2 linked regions of the Diceros bicornis minor genome follow. The protein of the gene in region 2 purifies or fractionates together with the protein of the main gene of each other region. This does not show direct contact. Links are inferred from orthologs where the notes say so. Each region holds a gene or a part of one and is shown on either strand. Other genes may lie near its edges.

Region 1 (8,391 bases), on a different chromosome or scaffold from region 2:
GCATAAGGATTCTTAATGTGCCAAGAATTAAGAATTGTGGGCAACATTTTATATGTAACCTAGGTTTTTTTTTTCAGAATCTGAAACTCTAGTAATGTCTTGCTCAAATAGGCACTCATCTGTTGACTGCTCTCAGCCTAAACATGCTTTAAAAAATAAATCTTTCATAACTTAAAATACTAACATTCATGTGATGTAGTTCTGAGCTTTGATGACAGAACCTTCAGTTGGCCAAAGTAGTTATATGGTATAAAAATAAATTCATTTACAGTTCACATTTTGAAGCTTTCACAAGCTAACCTGACACTCAAGTTCCTAAATTCTTGTTCCCAATTTTTATCCTAAGTGTTTCAGCAAGTTTTATGCTGCTTAGCAAACTGGCAGAGGCTCCGAGGTCAAAGACCTAAGGGGCCAATTAAAATAATCTTTACTAATTTTTAAAAAGGAAAAGGATAGGGGCCAGCCCGGGGTTCGCAGGTTCGGATCATGGGTGTCAACCTACACCACTCATCAAGCCATGCTGTGGTGGCATCCCACATACGAAAATGGAGGAAAATGGTCACAGACGTTAGCTCAGGGCCACTCTTGCTCAAGCAAAAAGAGGAAGATTGGCAAAAGGTGTTAGCTCAGGGCCAATCTTCCTCACCAAAAAAAAAAAGGGGAAAGGATAAAAATGAGAAGTCAAGAGATATATTACCCTGGAAGAGGTTGGTGATTGGGGCTCTTTGTGCAATTAATCATTATCGGCTGGAGTATACAGTCACAACAGGAAGCTTAAATTTAGGCACTGCATAATACTCCAAAAAATAGTCTACTAAATTCTTCAAGTATACTTGCAAAGCTGCTTTATACTCACATCTTCAAATTATTTGAGAAGGAAATGGCTTTACTCAAGTATTTGCAGAAACTTCGAACCACTTAGAAATCAGACCTGTATTAAATCTGCCTTCAATTAGTGACAAGATTGGATTCCAATCTTTGGGATTATTTCACAATTCTTGTCTTCTCTTTAATAGGAATGCAAAGCTATTGCTCAAAACACCTCTAGTCAAGAAATAAGATCTACTAGTGTGCTATACTCCTGCCATGTAGACAGCAAATGTACCTACTTCTCTTGTGTATGATTTTACAAACATTTGTCTGTAGAAAGATATTTCAGATGCACTTTGGTGTGAGGACAAGCCTCACACCCAAGAACATTTTCCTAACCCTCCACACTGATCTACACCCTACTTTAACAGAAGTAACCACAGCAATTAAAACTTGATTGAGCATAAACAATAACTTCTGTGTCCATTCTGTCACTTAACATTTTTTAACCTTTTGTAAGTGTTCCATTACTTCAGATGAGTTATCTAACAACTATAGATAACTGAAGAAAATGCATTCCTCAACTCATTTTTTGAGTAAATATTTATTATTCAGTACATTTCAAAACTTAAAGAAAAGAATTTCTTGCTGATGCAAGCCAAGATGGTAATACCTGTAAAGAAATATGAAATGTTACTGATAGCCTGAATATTAAACCTTTTTATTAAAATAAATCCCTTATGTATGTTATACCAATGGGAGAAAGTAAAATAGCTTTCAATGGTCAAGTGTCCGATAGGTCACTAACATTAGTTGGCATCATGTCAAACCACAGCATCTTCTATCATTATGAAATTAGCCCTTCAGAAGATTGAGCTGAGGCAGGCCTCTTTAAAGGGTATTTGAAAAAAAAGCAAATTAATAAGAATAAATTATTTCAGCCAAAATAAAACCAGGATTGGTGAACCAGGAAATCAAAAGCCCAGAAGAGACTTAATTCAGTCAAGCTCCCCAACGATCACCTGCCTGGGCCCGCCATGGGCCTGCTGCCAGATAAGACAGTATGCTGCCTACAGGATCATGCACCACCATGGGGAAGAACTCTAGAACCTACTAAAAGGAAGCCAATTACAGACCAAATAACCTCGCATACCTCAGAGCAGGTGTGCTCTATCCTGAGAGCTCTGTTCAATTCCAAGCAATCCTGAAGCAGGTACTCAAGCCAAGCCCACCTGCCAGACTACACCAGACCTCAAGATAACCTCCGGATAACCCAGTTCTACCTTCTAGAACCAAAGAGGGGATAAGACCGCAGAATACCCAGAGAAATCAAGAAAAGAAAAAAGGCGAGTTCCCCTAGGGACCTTGAACCCATGCACTCTGAGATTGTCACCGCCCTGAGAAATACGTTCCCCCATTCTATCCTCCTTCTGTTCCTTTACTGACCTTCTGTTCCTACCGCCTCAGGGAAGGCAAGAGACAAGCCACTGCCGTTCCCCCCAGCCCCCAGGGAAGGTGCCTTTCTCAGTTGAGAGCCGCAGAGGGAAGAAGAAAAAATGTTGCTCCTCCCCAACCAGCCCGCCCCACAACTCCTGAGTACAGACACTATGTGGGGGAAAGGGAAAAGAAGAGCAATGGGAAGTGACAGCCTAGGGGATGAGAATCCTGGCTCGGGAAGAAACGCGGGAGATCTACCCCCCTCCCCCAACCTATCCAAATGAATGAACTGAATAAAACAGGGAGGGGGAGGTTAGTACGCGCAGTTCTTGCCATCCAGGAAGCGAAGACAGACAGGCCCTCGCACCCAGGCCTGGCTTCGCTGCCCTTTGCACCCGACTCTCGTCCTTTCCATCCAAGCCCCACATCATTTAACCCTTTGAGCTTTCCAAGATAGCGCCCCCATCCTCCATCTACCCCAGGCACCGACCTCCCACCCACTCCGATCCTGTTCTTTTTGCTTGGGCCCAGACTCCAGCTTGTTCCTTCCTACCACCCTCTCCACAGCCCTCCGCGGCCCGGGCCCAGCCGCACCTGGAGATGCTCCTGAAAACGAATTGGCAGAATCTGGGCCATGGCGCTGTCGGGGGGTATGGTCTCCTCCTGTCACTGGGGCTGCGGGGCAGTGGCTGCCCAGGCTCTCCAAGGGAGAGGAGGAGGGGGGGCTGGGCTCAGCAGGATACTCTCCGGGGACGCAGGAAACTGGCAGGCAGACGAAAGAGCTCGGGTCGGGGGCGGAGGCTCCAGGAGCCAGGAGAGCCGCAATGGCGGAACCCGGCGTAGCGCAGACTCCGGAAACGGCTGAGCCCTGCGGAGGGATCCCGGCGACGGAACTCCGCCCAAGCCACCTCACCCCCTCCGCTTTATGTACCCTTCCACGGAGCGCCCCCGTGCTGCGAAGCGCAGGAATTTGGGGCGCAGTGCGCCGCGGGCCTCGCTCACTTCTGCGACACGGGGGTAAATAGAAGAATCTAAGGGACTACTTTTTTGGACTCATTACTTTCCCCAGCCTCCTGCTTTTCCCTTCCCCCCCCTTTTTTTGCATTTTGCCACATCATGCGACTAGGGGCCACCAACGTCATTTCCGTGGGCGCTTTAGGTCCCACCCACCTACTTCCGGCTGCACGTGACGCTGGTCGGCAAGGGTTGGCTGTTTGCTACCAGAAGGCCGAGCGAGTTCTAGGGGAGTGAGGTGTCTCCTGGGAATGTGGTGGCTGTTGGGCCGCCTTGAGGAATAGCGGTGTTGCTCCCTTCCTCTGTGGGCCCTGCCTATTTAAACTGAGTCCCTTACGAAGAGGACGTGGCGTGGGCAGATGGGCCCAGCCTCCCGCCCTCTCCGTGACTCAGGGAAACGGCCTCCCTGCAGAGCGCTGTCTTGGCAGCCGGCTGCAGCACTTTTACCCCACCTAGTTTCATACAGTGGGTGGTTTCTTACATCCCAGGGAGGGGGGAATGAAATGCGATTTAAAATCCTCGCTGCACTTATGCACGCCCTTCTGACGGTTGGAGAAGCTGACACTTGGATTCTAACTAGAACTAGCGGTCTCTTCGGATGTTAAATAATTGGCTCAAAGGACAGTGAGGGCCATTTATGAGGTATCTCAAGCTGGCCTAGTGATGGTTTTTCTTAACGTTTTTGCGGACATTTTGGCAGACGTGTATATCGGTCTAGCTTAGTAATAAATGCGGTGTTAAAGAATTTGAGTATCATACATACGCTAAAGAATTAGACCAAAATTGTAGCAGGAAGATTTTTTAGCTACATCAAATAATTAAGAGTCTCAAAGATTTAGATAATTACGTTAAGGGCGGTTTGTAAAACCTTAAGGTTCTTCCTCGTGTGGCTAATGTCCACTCTTGGAGAAAGGGATTAACTATTAGCGGTGTATTTCGGTGGGACCACTTCGACATTGCCTGTAAATTAGCAGTGTTTGGGAATGTAAGCGCTTCAAAGCTGCAGCATCGTGTCTTCTAACATAATTAAGGTATCTTCAGTATTCATTATCAATTAATAACTGTAGTACTTTATTGCTAAAGTATAAGATGTAATATTTCATAATAGCACAAATACAATAAAGGATAAAAGAATTTAGTTCTGTGCCTCTCATCTTTATGAGATGTGATTATTTTTCCAAAAAGATCTTGAGAAAAAACAAGTACACAATTATTTTTAGTTCCCTTTTCAGTTAAACATAAAACCCTATTATGTATACAGTAATTTTGTGCCATGTAGTTTTGCTTAGTTTGCTTAATCATTTAAATTGCATTTAATGTTTTTCCCAAAATACATCTCACATACTGAGGATGAGAGAAGAATCTTTGGCAGGTAAGAGAGCAGAGTGTTCTGCAAAGAAAAGCCTTGCCACCATGTCATAAGAGTGAATATTTATGCTTGGCAAAATTTCATTGTTTTGTTAAGCCAGACACTTGAAGATGTTCTGTATTCTGCAACATTTGAAATGATCTTTCTAATACCAGTTTAATAGCTGCTTTCAACCCTTTTTGGAAGTAGACAAATTCTAAATTAAAAATCTAAAGAAGTTATTGTTTTATTAAAGTAAAAGCAGTAACTTAATCAAGTTACATTTCCAATCTCAGAATCTGGGATACAAGAGCTATATCATGAATGTGCCACCAAAATTTTCTTTATTAATAACTGTCTTGAATTTTCATACAGACCTGTAATTTTAAGTACATTTAGAATCCATAAAGCAATTGATTTTAGCTTGGATATTTGGTATGGAATGTCTAACCAAAAGTGCACTGAGGTTCTGTTCAAGTGACTGCTGTGTCATCACACGGAAATCTAATGCATTGTTTTCAGAAATCATTTGAGAATAGATTACAATATACCAGCTCATTTTGAATACTGTATCCTTCAAATTAATAAATCCAAAGTTTTTCAAGAGAAAAAAATGGTCCAGATGATAAACACTAAAAAAAAACCAAACCTATGCCTTTTAACAATAATTTTGCCTGAGGTAATAAGAGCTTTTTATAGTAGTTTGCTGTTCTTGCAAATGGTGTGGAGGCAGGAGAAAAGGTTGTCAATCCTTGGTTTAGAAGCCCCAAAGGCTGAGTCACTGTTAACAGTTACCTGAGCAGTAATTGAATGGCTTTGTTATCAGGCACTACCTTAAGTTAGAGAAGATAGATAACCTAATAAACCAGAAAACAAATGCTGGGTTTTTTCTAACTATGACAAAGTCTTTTAATAAGGCTACTGCTATAAATGTATCATCATCCCGGCTTTTGGGTTCAGAAAATGTTTTAGTAAGGCAGCCATATTAATAAAAAATTGGTCTCGTTCTTTTAATTGGAAGTTATTTCTATCAGAATGTTCAATAGAAGGTCCTTGCTGTGAGTCACAGGAAGTGCCATTAGCAAAAACTGCATTGCTTGTCTATTTTGAGGAGTGCCAGTTTCCCAAAACCTACATAAGAAACCTTTATTATGCCCCTAATTTTATATTTTATGACAGGAACTATGATATTTATATATATATATATACATATTAGCTCCAATGAGAATGACACCTGAGAAAAACTTTTCATTGCATGATTCCTCTGTAGTTGTTAATCTTCAAGCAGCCCCTGAATTAAGGCCCCTGCCTTTTAACTTGACCTTTTAAAAAGAGCGTGAGCTAGCTGCATTGCAAAAGCCACAAAGTAAAGGCATTTCTCAAACACTGAGATTAATTTTAAAGGAGAACTTTAAACCTAATCCACAGTACCAAATATTTAAAATTCAGATTTTAATGAAACCAAGAGGGATATACTTTAGCATTACCCAAGTAAGATAAGTGGTTTTGCCATTTATACAGCAGCTCTGAAACATTTCAGCCCCCTCGGGCCGCTCATATGAATACTAGCAGGATTAGATAAAGAGCAGAATATCAAATACCAGTAAATGGCTCAGGTATCAGTCAACACACAGTGCCCACTTTATTTTGTACAAGGCACTGATTATAGGCAAAGCTCAACCAAAAAAAAAACACAAAGCATGAAAAAATTTTCATGGCCTTTTATTTTAGTATGAAATGGACCTGCACCTAATATCATTCACTGCTCAGGTTGTCCTAAACCTAATTTCATAGACAGGTTTTATAATGTGTCATGGATAGCAGTAAGATCTATAGTGACTCTTTATTCTGGGTCAGGATTGAGCATGTTCCAATGAATAGCCAAGACTGGCCCTGTGGGAATAAAATCTGCAATCTAGTAATATTATATTGGCCCCTCCCATATTTTCTAAAGGTTAAATCAGATCCAAGCAGAGGAATGAAGTGGCTCATAACATTACCTTAAAAAGTCATCTGAGGAAAGTTGGTTCAAATATAGTGATTCACAGAGCATTATGGACAGAAAAACCCTGCCGATCAATAGGGAATCAGATGCCACATCACAACATCCCTTTCAAAAGTCACAAAAAGCTTGAGAGGCTCTATAAAATGAAGGGGGGCAATGAGGGTCAAGGTGTGGGAATGATTGTTATGGGCTATTTTTTTCCTTCTTTCTAAATATGTAGAGCTGTCTCTCTTCATCTAGAGTTATTACTGTCTCCAATTCAAAGCAAAGTATGACCCACAAACATGTTATGTTCTCTCAGCAATTTAAAATTTTTTTTAATTTTATTTTTTCCCCCAAAGCCCCAGTAGATAGTTGTATGTCATAGATGCACATCCTTCTAGTTGCTGTACGTGGGATGCAGCCTCAGCACGGCCGGAGAAGCAGTGGGTTGGTGTGCGCCCAGGATCTGAACCCGGGCCGCCAGCAGCGGAGCGTGCGCACTTAACTGCTAAGCCACGGGGCCGGCCCACAGCAACTTTAAAAATCTGTCACACTCCAGGGATAGTTCTATCAGTAGCAATGCACATATGCAGCCTTGTTATGGTAGTAAACTCTTCCTCAGAACAGAATGGGTAAGGACTGAGATTTGGTAAACAAAGTTTTGGTTAACTCAGTAATAAAGTTTCAAGGAAGTATAAGCTAATTTACTCAGTCAACACTTTTCAGTATGAAAAATACTTATACTCAGTGTTAAAATCTTTTGAAAAAGCTTTTAAAAAAATTATATGGGGAAAGTAATTCTCAATCTTAAAAGCCTCAGATTCATTACTGTGAAGTTTTTTGTATAGTCCTGCAAATTACCTGAATATGTACCAAATTTAGGACACACTAGAAATTACTTTTTTTTTAAATGCCTTACCTTAACGTGTCATGATTGATAAAAGAGTATTACGTAAAACTAACCAAAAACCTGGTTATTTCCTTTTCCTGGTTGTTCATATTACAAATAACTGTGAGTTTAATGTTGAACAGTATACAACTACTATTCATTCTGTAATATTCCAGTAATGAAAAATATGTAGCATTCATATGAGCCTACCTCATATTTATTGATTTAATTTATTTCTGAGCCAGCCCTGATAGCACCAACAGGCAAAAAAAGATCTCTTTAGGTTAGGTCTACCAATCACTCAAACATAAAGCTTTCCACGGGCTGAAAATAAAAACTACCTAATAAAGACAGCCCTTTACTGTCTCTATATTTTCAGACTATCTAGCTAAGCCATCAGATCAGATGTGGAGATGAGATTATACTCATTACTGAGGAGGGCTTAAAAATTTCATTTCTTGAACAGGGAACTAAATGGAGCAGCAGACTGGCACACAATGGCAGTCTATAAGTGCCCCAAACTATAAAAGGAATACCCCAGTCCAAGCCAACTTGCAAATTTTTCTTTCTGCAAGAATGAATGGCACTCAAATTATTCTTCATTTGACCTACTTAATGTTAACCCAAGTTACAGACTGGAAGATGCAAGACCCTTCAAAAAAGCCCTTCTCGAGGTGACACTGATGATAATCTTTCCAATTTTTAACTCTGATTCCTGTCCCAAACCACACAAATTCTGTATCCTTTTTTGTTCTAGTCCAAGTCCTACTCTTCCTTAAAAACTCAGCTTATAAATCTATCTACCCTACTTCTTAAGCTATTCTAGCCTTTATTGACTGTACCACTTCCTTAATTTGAAGCCTAGGCTAACTTAATGTTGTTAATAATCACACCTGGAGTTAGCAC
Region 2 (7,281 bases):
TGAGATTCCCTGCCAAAACCAAGCTCGGAGGTAACCGTGCTTTCTTCCCCGGGTCTAGACCAGCCACTGCAGCATCAGAGTAGATCTTTGAGGACAGTGCGGCCAACCTGCATCCTATTTAATTCCTTCCCTTTCCCCACCAGTGTGGTCACCGGGCTGTGTTTCTTAAAGGTATTCTGGCTGCTGAATGCCTTTCTCAGCTCAGAGCAGTTCTGAGATTTAATTGGAGAAACAGAAAGAAACAGGAACGTTTGGGAACCAAAATCAAGAAGAGCAGAAATCTTGGTTTGATTTCGTGTGTGAGAACCTGTACCACCCCTCTCTGTACCCATGGAAGTTTCCTGTTTGACACGGGGATCAAGGGGGGCCTTGAAGGCATGGATTAGTACAGAAAGAAGTCAGTCCTACCATTGTCATTTGCACACATTAATGGAATCCTGATGAGGACCTGCTTTTTGTTTGTTTTCCTTTAAAATCCAACCCTGTTGTATTTGTATTTAAAATTTGTACACATTTGTATAATAATCTGTATCTTGTGGTATTTGGTACTATTAGAGGAAAAACTTTGGATTCAGACCTTCTTGCAGTTTTTATATCATTGTTTTATTTTGTTTTTTAAATAAATTCTAGCAGTTTGATCCAAATCCCATTACAGTTGTATAAAGAAATAAAATTTTGTACTTATATTATTAAAAATCACATTTTTATTATTTGTAGTCCAGTCTCAGCTATCTTTTCCCTGCTGCTAACCAAAAAAGCTACAAAATTATAAAACCTGTTTTTCACACGATATCCTACAATAATTTTCTTAAAAAGAAAAATCCATCTGGAATAGAGGTCAAGTTTCTGATCTTAGCCATTTTCCTAGCACACATCTTGCTCTGTTTCTATTAACTGTTACATTGTGGAGTCTCTCGTGTTCTCTCTTTTACAAATTGTAAACCCGGTAGCTCTGATAAGTGCAGCTCTATTCGCTGGCAAATGAAATTGTATGTACATTGCAGTGTTGGCCTAACTCAAGAAAATGTCTATCAGTCTTATATAAGGGTTGCATCTGAATCACGTGCTTGAATATATTTCATACTGTTTCAGTACTGTCCTGACTTAGTGAGTGATGTTGGTTAAGTCACTTAATCTTTATAGGCATCCAAAGTCCCATCTGTAAAACAGTGTTAATGTCACTTTCCTGATCCAAGCCTGCAGCCAGCCAGTCTGACATGAATATTTAATAGTATTGTGAACATTTAATATATAGAGATTTGACCTTTCGAGGTAAAAATTTCAATGCAAACACAATATGTTAATAGTTATAAATAGTGAGACATTATGATTGATTAAAAGGATAACTTCTTATGGAGAGGCAGCAAGGAAGAGACCACCATATTACTGAATGACTATTATAGAGTGATGTGCATATTTTATCTCACTTAATCCTCCGAAAAGCCTTATGAGTATTATCCCCCTTTACAAATAAGGAGACAGATGTAGAGAAGCACTTTTCCTAAGTTTAGACAGCTAGTAAATGGCAAAGCCAGATAAGCACACTGGTACAGCTGACCCCAAAGCCTAGGCCCTCTCCTACCCCAAGCCACTTTCACACTTAAATTGTGTGTGTAATTCATCAGAATCCTTCTCTGTTATCTATAGTCCTGAGCAAATGTGATTGTAGGGAAACTATCTGAGACCTTTTCATTGTTCCACTGTTGTTTTGTCCTAGCTGGCTTTCACTATACAGGCCTCACTTTTCTTGTCATACTATTGTCTTTAAACTTTGGAGGCAAAGTATCTTGATTTTTGTCCAAAAGTACTTAAAGGATGTAATAGATTACATTACATTTATGCAATATGTCAATCTTAAGGAACTTAAACATTTTTACCCTCAGGAAGGCATTTGATATTAATATTGCTAAAACACTTAAAAGGAAAAATTAAGACAGACTTTTTACTAAATGAGTTTGTTCCTTGTTTGCAAACACTTTTAAAACATAGTTTTAATCAGTTTTGTACTACACTTAATATTTGCCATTTACATTCCTGTCATGTTGACAAAATCCACACACTTCCTTTGCTAATTTAATAGCTATATAATATTCTGTTTGCACGGAGTTAATATGACTGCACTCTGTGTTTGGGGATATGTAGGTTGTTCCTGCTTTTTTACCATGAAGGATAAAATTTATGTCTGTTTTATTCTTGGCAGTAAAGCCAAGATCTTCTGCCCATAATCACTTTAAACCAGAGTGATCCAAGAAGGCAAGAACTTCTGGTAAATCACCACCCAACATGGGAATGTTCAAGATTGTTAATGGAAGAATCCAAAAGAAATTCGTGCTAAATATACTCCATACAACCAAGCCATATGCTTAAATGAAGAAAAACATGGAAGGTACCTGACATGAAGTTCATCTTAAATATACATCCCCCTTTATAGTCCAAATACCATTACTGAAAGGTAAATTATTTAAATTTTCATGTTAGTCACTGCGCTAGACAACAGTGGTGAGCAAAACACAGTATCCCAGCCCTCACAGAGCATCCAGAGAGGGAAGGCGTTTATTAAAAGGTCTCATGAGCATTATTAAAACACTTCGGAGGGGGCCAGCCTGGTGGCGTAGTGGTTAAGTTCGCGAGCTCCGCTTCAGCAGTGGGTTAGGATCCTAGGCATAGACCTACGCACCACTTATCAAGCCATGCTGTGGCAGGCATCCCACATGTAAAATAGAGGAAGATGGACATGGATGTTAGCTCAGGACCAATCTTCCTCAGCAAAAAGAGGAGGATCAGCAACAGATGTTAGCTCAGGCCTAACTTTCCTCACCAAAAAAAAAACAAACACTTCAGAGCTCAGGAGTACATGACTTCCATAAAGTTTTTCTATTGTACAGTAAGGATGTCAGCCCCTATGGCTGCTCGAACAGGTTAACATACAAAAGTGATTGAAGTTCTAATGTAGATTTTCCATCCTAATTTTGTGCAGAGTCAATTTACCAGCCTTGCAAATTTAAAAATCACAAGAATCATGATCAATAAATAGTAAAGCACCCTGCAGTAGCCCAAACTACCAAAGCAGTGGTTATTGTATCTTTTGGAATGCATGTCATTGGAAGGAAAAAACATAACCAATAGATCAGATATCTAACGTGTAGGTGACATATCCAAAACATGGTACACAGTCAGAAAGGCCGAAGAAGATATTCGAATTACAAAGCTGGGAAAGGCCTTTGAGCTTTTTGGAGTCCACTGCTGTACTTTAGGGACCCAGAACCTCCCTGAAGTTAAATTATATCTCTGCCTTTTTTCTTCAGAAGGGCTCATGGCTTTCTTCAAATTCTCAAAGGAGACTGTTACCTAAAAAGAGGAAGGTTACGAGTCCCTGATCTAATTCCAGCATCCAGAGAAAATGGAAACTCGCTGTTTGAATCACACAGTAAATTAACAGCAGAGATGGGTCCCAGGCCCCACTCGTGCTTTCTGCCACCCTGGGCGGTAGCCCATCCCTAGCTGTAATTCATGGAGTTGGCTCTCAGTGGCAAGAGATCGCAAACCCCTGGCCCTGGCCTCCGATTTGAGGTAAGCGAATCTGGGCAGCAAGCAGGGCACATGTTGCGTCAGGGAGACCTCGACATCAGATAGGGAAAGTCCCATCAGGACAGGGCGACAACAGGCCAGAGAGGCTGTCAACCCCCGCGGCGGGTATGTAGTCACAGTGTGGTCGGAAGGGCTAAGGGCCGAGTGAGAGCTGTAGTCTAAGCGTAACCTTGCCCAAGTCACTTCCCTGCTCCCACACCCAGTTTTCCAGATGCGTTAAGATGCTTAGGTCACGCCCCTAAACCTTAAATAAACGTCGAGGGCGTGGCTTAGAGAGGTCCACGCCCCCAAGTCCGCCACCGCCCCACGTCGTGCGTGACGTCCGCCGACGCCGAGTAAGCCGCAGTGACGTCATCGCCCTCCCCCCTCGGGACGCCCAACCCTTCACGTCAGGGGCGGGGCCTGAGGCCGCGCTCCACACTCCCTCTGCCCCGCCCCCACGGGCGCCTCCTCGCGGACCGTCCGGCACGTCACGTGACGGGTCGGCAGCGCCGGCGGTTGCTGTCAGCTGATTCCCCGGGTTGGTGGCAGCCGCAGCGCAGCAGAGGCGATGGAGTTTCTCCTGGGGAACCCGTTCAGCTCTCCGGTGGGACAGCGCATCGGTGAGTCTCCGGAGCCCCGCCCAGCCCCGCCGCAGGGCTCTGCTTCCGGCCCCGACCCCCCGGGGCGCCTCCGGGTCCCCGGTCACACACCGGAGGGAGGCGGGGAGGGGAACGAGGCCGGCGTGTCTCTCCTGAACCGGCCCCGCCCAGTCTCCCACCTTGATTGACAAACTCCGTGGTCCATTAGGAAGCCTCGACTTGTGATGGATGCTTACGTCAGCCAATAGCTAAAGAGAGAGGGCGGGTTCGGGAGGCCGCGGCTCAGCCAATGTGCGGCTACTGTGGTCCCGACTCCACGGAGAAAGTTTGGGGGGTTGAAGGGTCTGCGCGGTTTTGCAATTCTTGCGCCCCTCGACTGTTCCCCGCGTCGCGCCTCCAGTGCGGGTCGCGCCGCCTGGGGTCTTGCCGTCTCCTTCCTGCTCGCCAGGCTCTCCGCACACGGATACCTGAGAAGGGCTGAACGTCCATTCTCCCAGGACCAGGAGTCCAGGGCTTGGCGTCTGGGCGACGACCTGCGGGGAGGGGCCGGTCAGCCCTGCCTGCCCCGGGCCCGGGCTAGACGCTGGGGAGCCCGCTCGACCAGGCGGCCATGCCTTAGCGACCAGGGTCTCAGGACGTGCTTGCCCTGGCAGTCCTCACCTGCTGGCATGAGACCCACCGCCTAGCGTCGCAGACTCTCTGGGCTGGAGGTGATCTTAGAAGCCACCTGCTTCGGCCTCCCTCATTTCCCGGTAGATGATCAGCCAAGGGCTCTGGCTGGAGACACAGGCTTACTGGGAGCCCAGGTCTCCTGACTCTCTTGCCGCCTGTTGACGGGAGACCTACAAGTCTTGTGATGTTGCCTCACTGTAGAGCTCAGGCTTCCTCATCCGTAGTTAGGGGATAATAATGGTCCCTACCTCCGTGGGGTTGTTGTGAAGATTAAACTCGTTAATAAATGTAAAGTACTTAGAACAGTGACTGGCACATGGCCAGTGCTATATAAAAGAAAGTCATAGTATTTATTATCGTTGTTCCTGATATACCACCAAGCGAGGGTCGGAAATCCCTGGAAATGGCTGGGCGGTAGGTCTCATGGGTGCTCATTCCTGCCCACCAACACGGGGAGGACGCACAGGCCCTGGCCCAAACAGCTAACACTTCTCCAGGGACGGTCTGGGTGTGCCTCCTTCTCCCATGAGGAAACCACTGGCAGTACTGTGAAATTCTCTCTTCATCTTTTTGATGGTTTTTAGCCTTAAGTCCAGACTGGGAAAATTGTATCTTTTAGACAAAATATTTTTTCCATTCTTACCGTCTTGGAAGCCAAACCTTGCTCAAGTCTGCGGACCCAGCTCTGTGGTGTAATGTCCAACATGACTGTTTGTGGCTCTTCTGAGGTTTTGTAATCACCTCTCTCCAAGAAGGGGGTGGCAGTCAAGGATTTACACACCAGGAAGCTCCTGGACCAGAGAGCGGAAGCTGCCCTCTCAGGACCACCGTTCCGGGACCTCCCCCACAAGACGCTACACACACACACACCTCCGGGACCTCCCCCACAAGACACTATACACACACCAATGAGTCATTGTTTTGGAGCTGAAAACAGAAAGCAGCTCTCCTCTCGTCTTTATTTCTCCAGCTACAGATAGCACTGCTTTCATCACATGCCAAGTTTGAGACTTCCTACTTAAAAATAAAAAAAAAAATCTGGCCTTCAAAGTCAGCCACAGGGCTGGCCCCGTGGCTTAGCGGTTAGGTGCGCACGCTCAGCTGCTGGCGGCCCGGGTTTGGATCCCGGGCGCGCACCGACGCACCGCTTCTCTGGCCATGCCGAGGCCGCGTCCCACATGCAGCAACTGGAAGGATGTGCAGCTATGACATACAACTATCTACTGGGGCTTTGGGGGAAAAAAATAAATAAATAAAATTTAAAAAAAAAAAAAGTCAGCCACATATTCCTGAGGATTTCTAGAAAAGTTCACGTGGACTCTGGGCTTTAGCTGATCGGAGAAAACAGCTTCTCTTCTACCCTGAAGGGTTTCGAGTCTTGGGCAAGAGGTACTCTGTCGAGAGAGAATACTACTAAATCATAGCACCTCAGAGCCCAAACCGCCTTTTACTGCCGGAAGGGTCCTTCCCCTGGGGACCTTCGAACCCGGGGCTCTCAAGTGTCCCCTGGAAGACTTGTTAAAGCGCAGGTGGCTGGCCCCCACCCCTAGAGTTTCTGACCCTCTACGTCTGGGGTGGGGCCCTAGAATTTGCATTTCTAGCAAATTCCCAGGTGATGCTAAAGCCACTGGATTGGAGGGCCAGCCCTGTGGCTTAGCGGTTGAGTGCGCGCGCTCCGCTGCTGGCAGCCCGGGTTCGGATCCCGGGCGCGCACCGCTTCTCCGGCCATGCTGAGGCCGCGTCCCACATACAGCAACTAGAAGGATGTGCAGCTACGACGTACAACTATCTACTGGGGCTTTGGGGGGAAAAATAAATAAATAAAATCTTTAAAAAAAAAAAAAAAAGCCCCTGGATTGGAAACCACATATTGCAAACCTCTGTTCTGGTCCACTCCCTTCATTTTACACAAGAGGAAACCGAGGCCCAGGGAGGGGAAGGTGGAGACTGACTCACCCCAGACCCCAGTGAATTGATAGTGAAGCTGAGATGAACTCCCCCAGAACCAGTGAAACTTGAGCCAAAGCTGAAGAGGCTCTAAAAGTAGAATTAAATGAAGAATAGCTGCGATCTGAGTTAATGCCCTCAGTAGTCTGTGTTTTTCTTGTGGATAAAGAGGCGGAAGTACTGCTGATTGGCTGTGATTACTGATGACCCACTGTTAGCCGCTTGTATTTCTGTCAGCTGCAGGAGTAACATAATCTCTTCTCAAGCCTGCCACCTCCATCCCCTTGTTGAGAGGAGAGCCCTGTAGAATTGGCATCCCTGAGCACAGTGGGTTCTACTGGTGCTCATCAGGGGTGTCACTTGACTCACAAGTGCGCACACGCTTGGACACACACACACACACCCCTTTGTGCTTGCTGCACCCTCTGCCTGGAATGCTGTCCTGTGTGCTTCCTTCAAAGTCGCAGGCATCGTCACCTCCTCCATCTCCTCC

Evidence for each region. Proteins that work in one complex are often made in the same cells at the same time.
Region 1: the proteins of TOM1 (region 2) and CLTC purify together in Homo sapiens (affinity purification with western blotting, with the first as the bait; 3 studies listed by BioGRID). This does not show direct contact. The link is inferred for Diceros bicornis minor from reciprocal best matches to the Homo sapiens genes TOM1 and CLTC.

What each region holds. Positions count from the first base shown.
Region 1 is NC_080757.1:28,257,559-28,265,949, forward strand, and holds the start of CLTC (clathrin heavy chain 1), read right to left. Parts: upstream 3,168-8,391; 5' UTR 2,884-3,167; coding exon 2,842-2,883; intron 1-2,841. UniProt on the Homo sapiens protein: Clathrin is the major protein of the polyhedral coat of coated pits and vesicles. Two different adapter protein complexes link the clathrin lattice either to the plasma membrane or to the trans-Golgi network.
Region 2 is NC_080764.1:14,280,737-14,288,017, reverse strand, and holds the start of TOM1 (target of Myb1 membrane trafficking protein), read left to right. Parts: upstream 1-4,056; 5' UTR 4,057-4,138; coding exon 4,139-4,190; intron 4,191-7,281.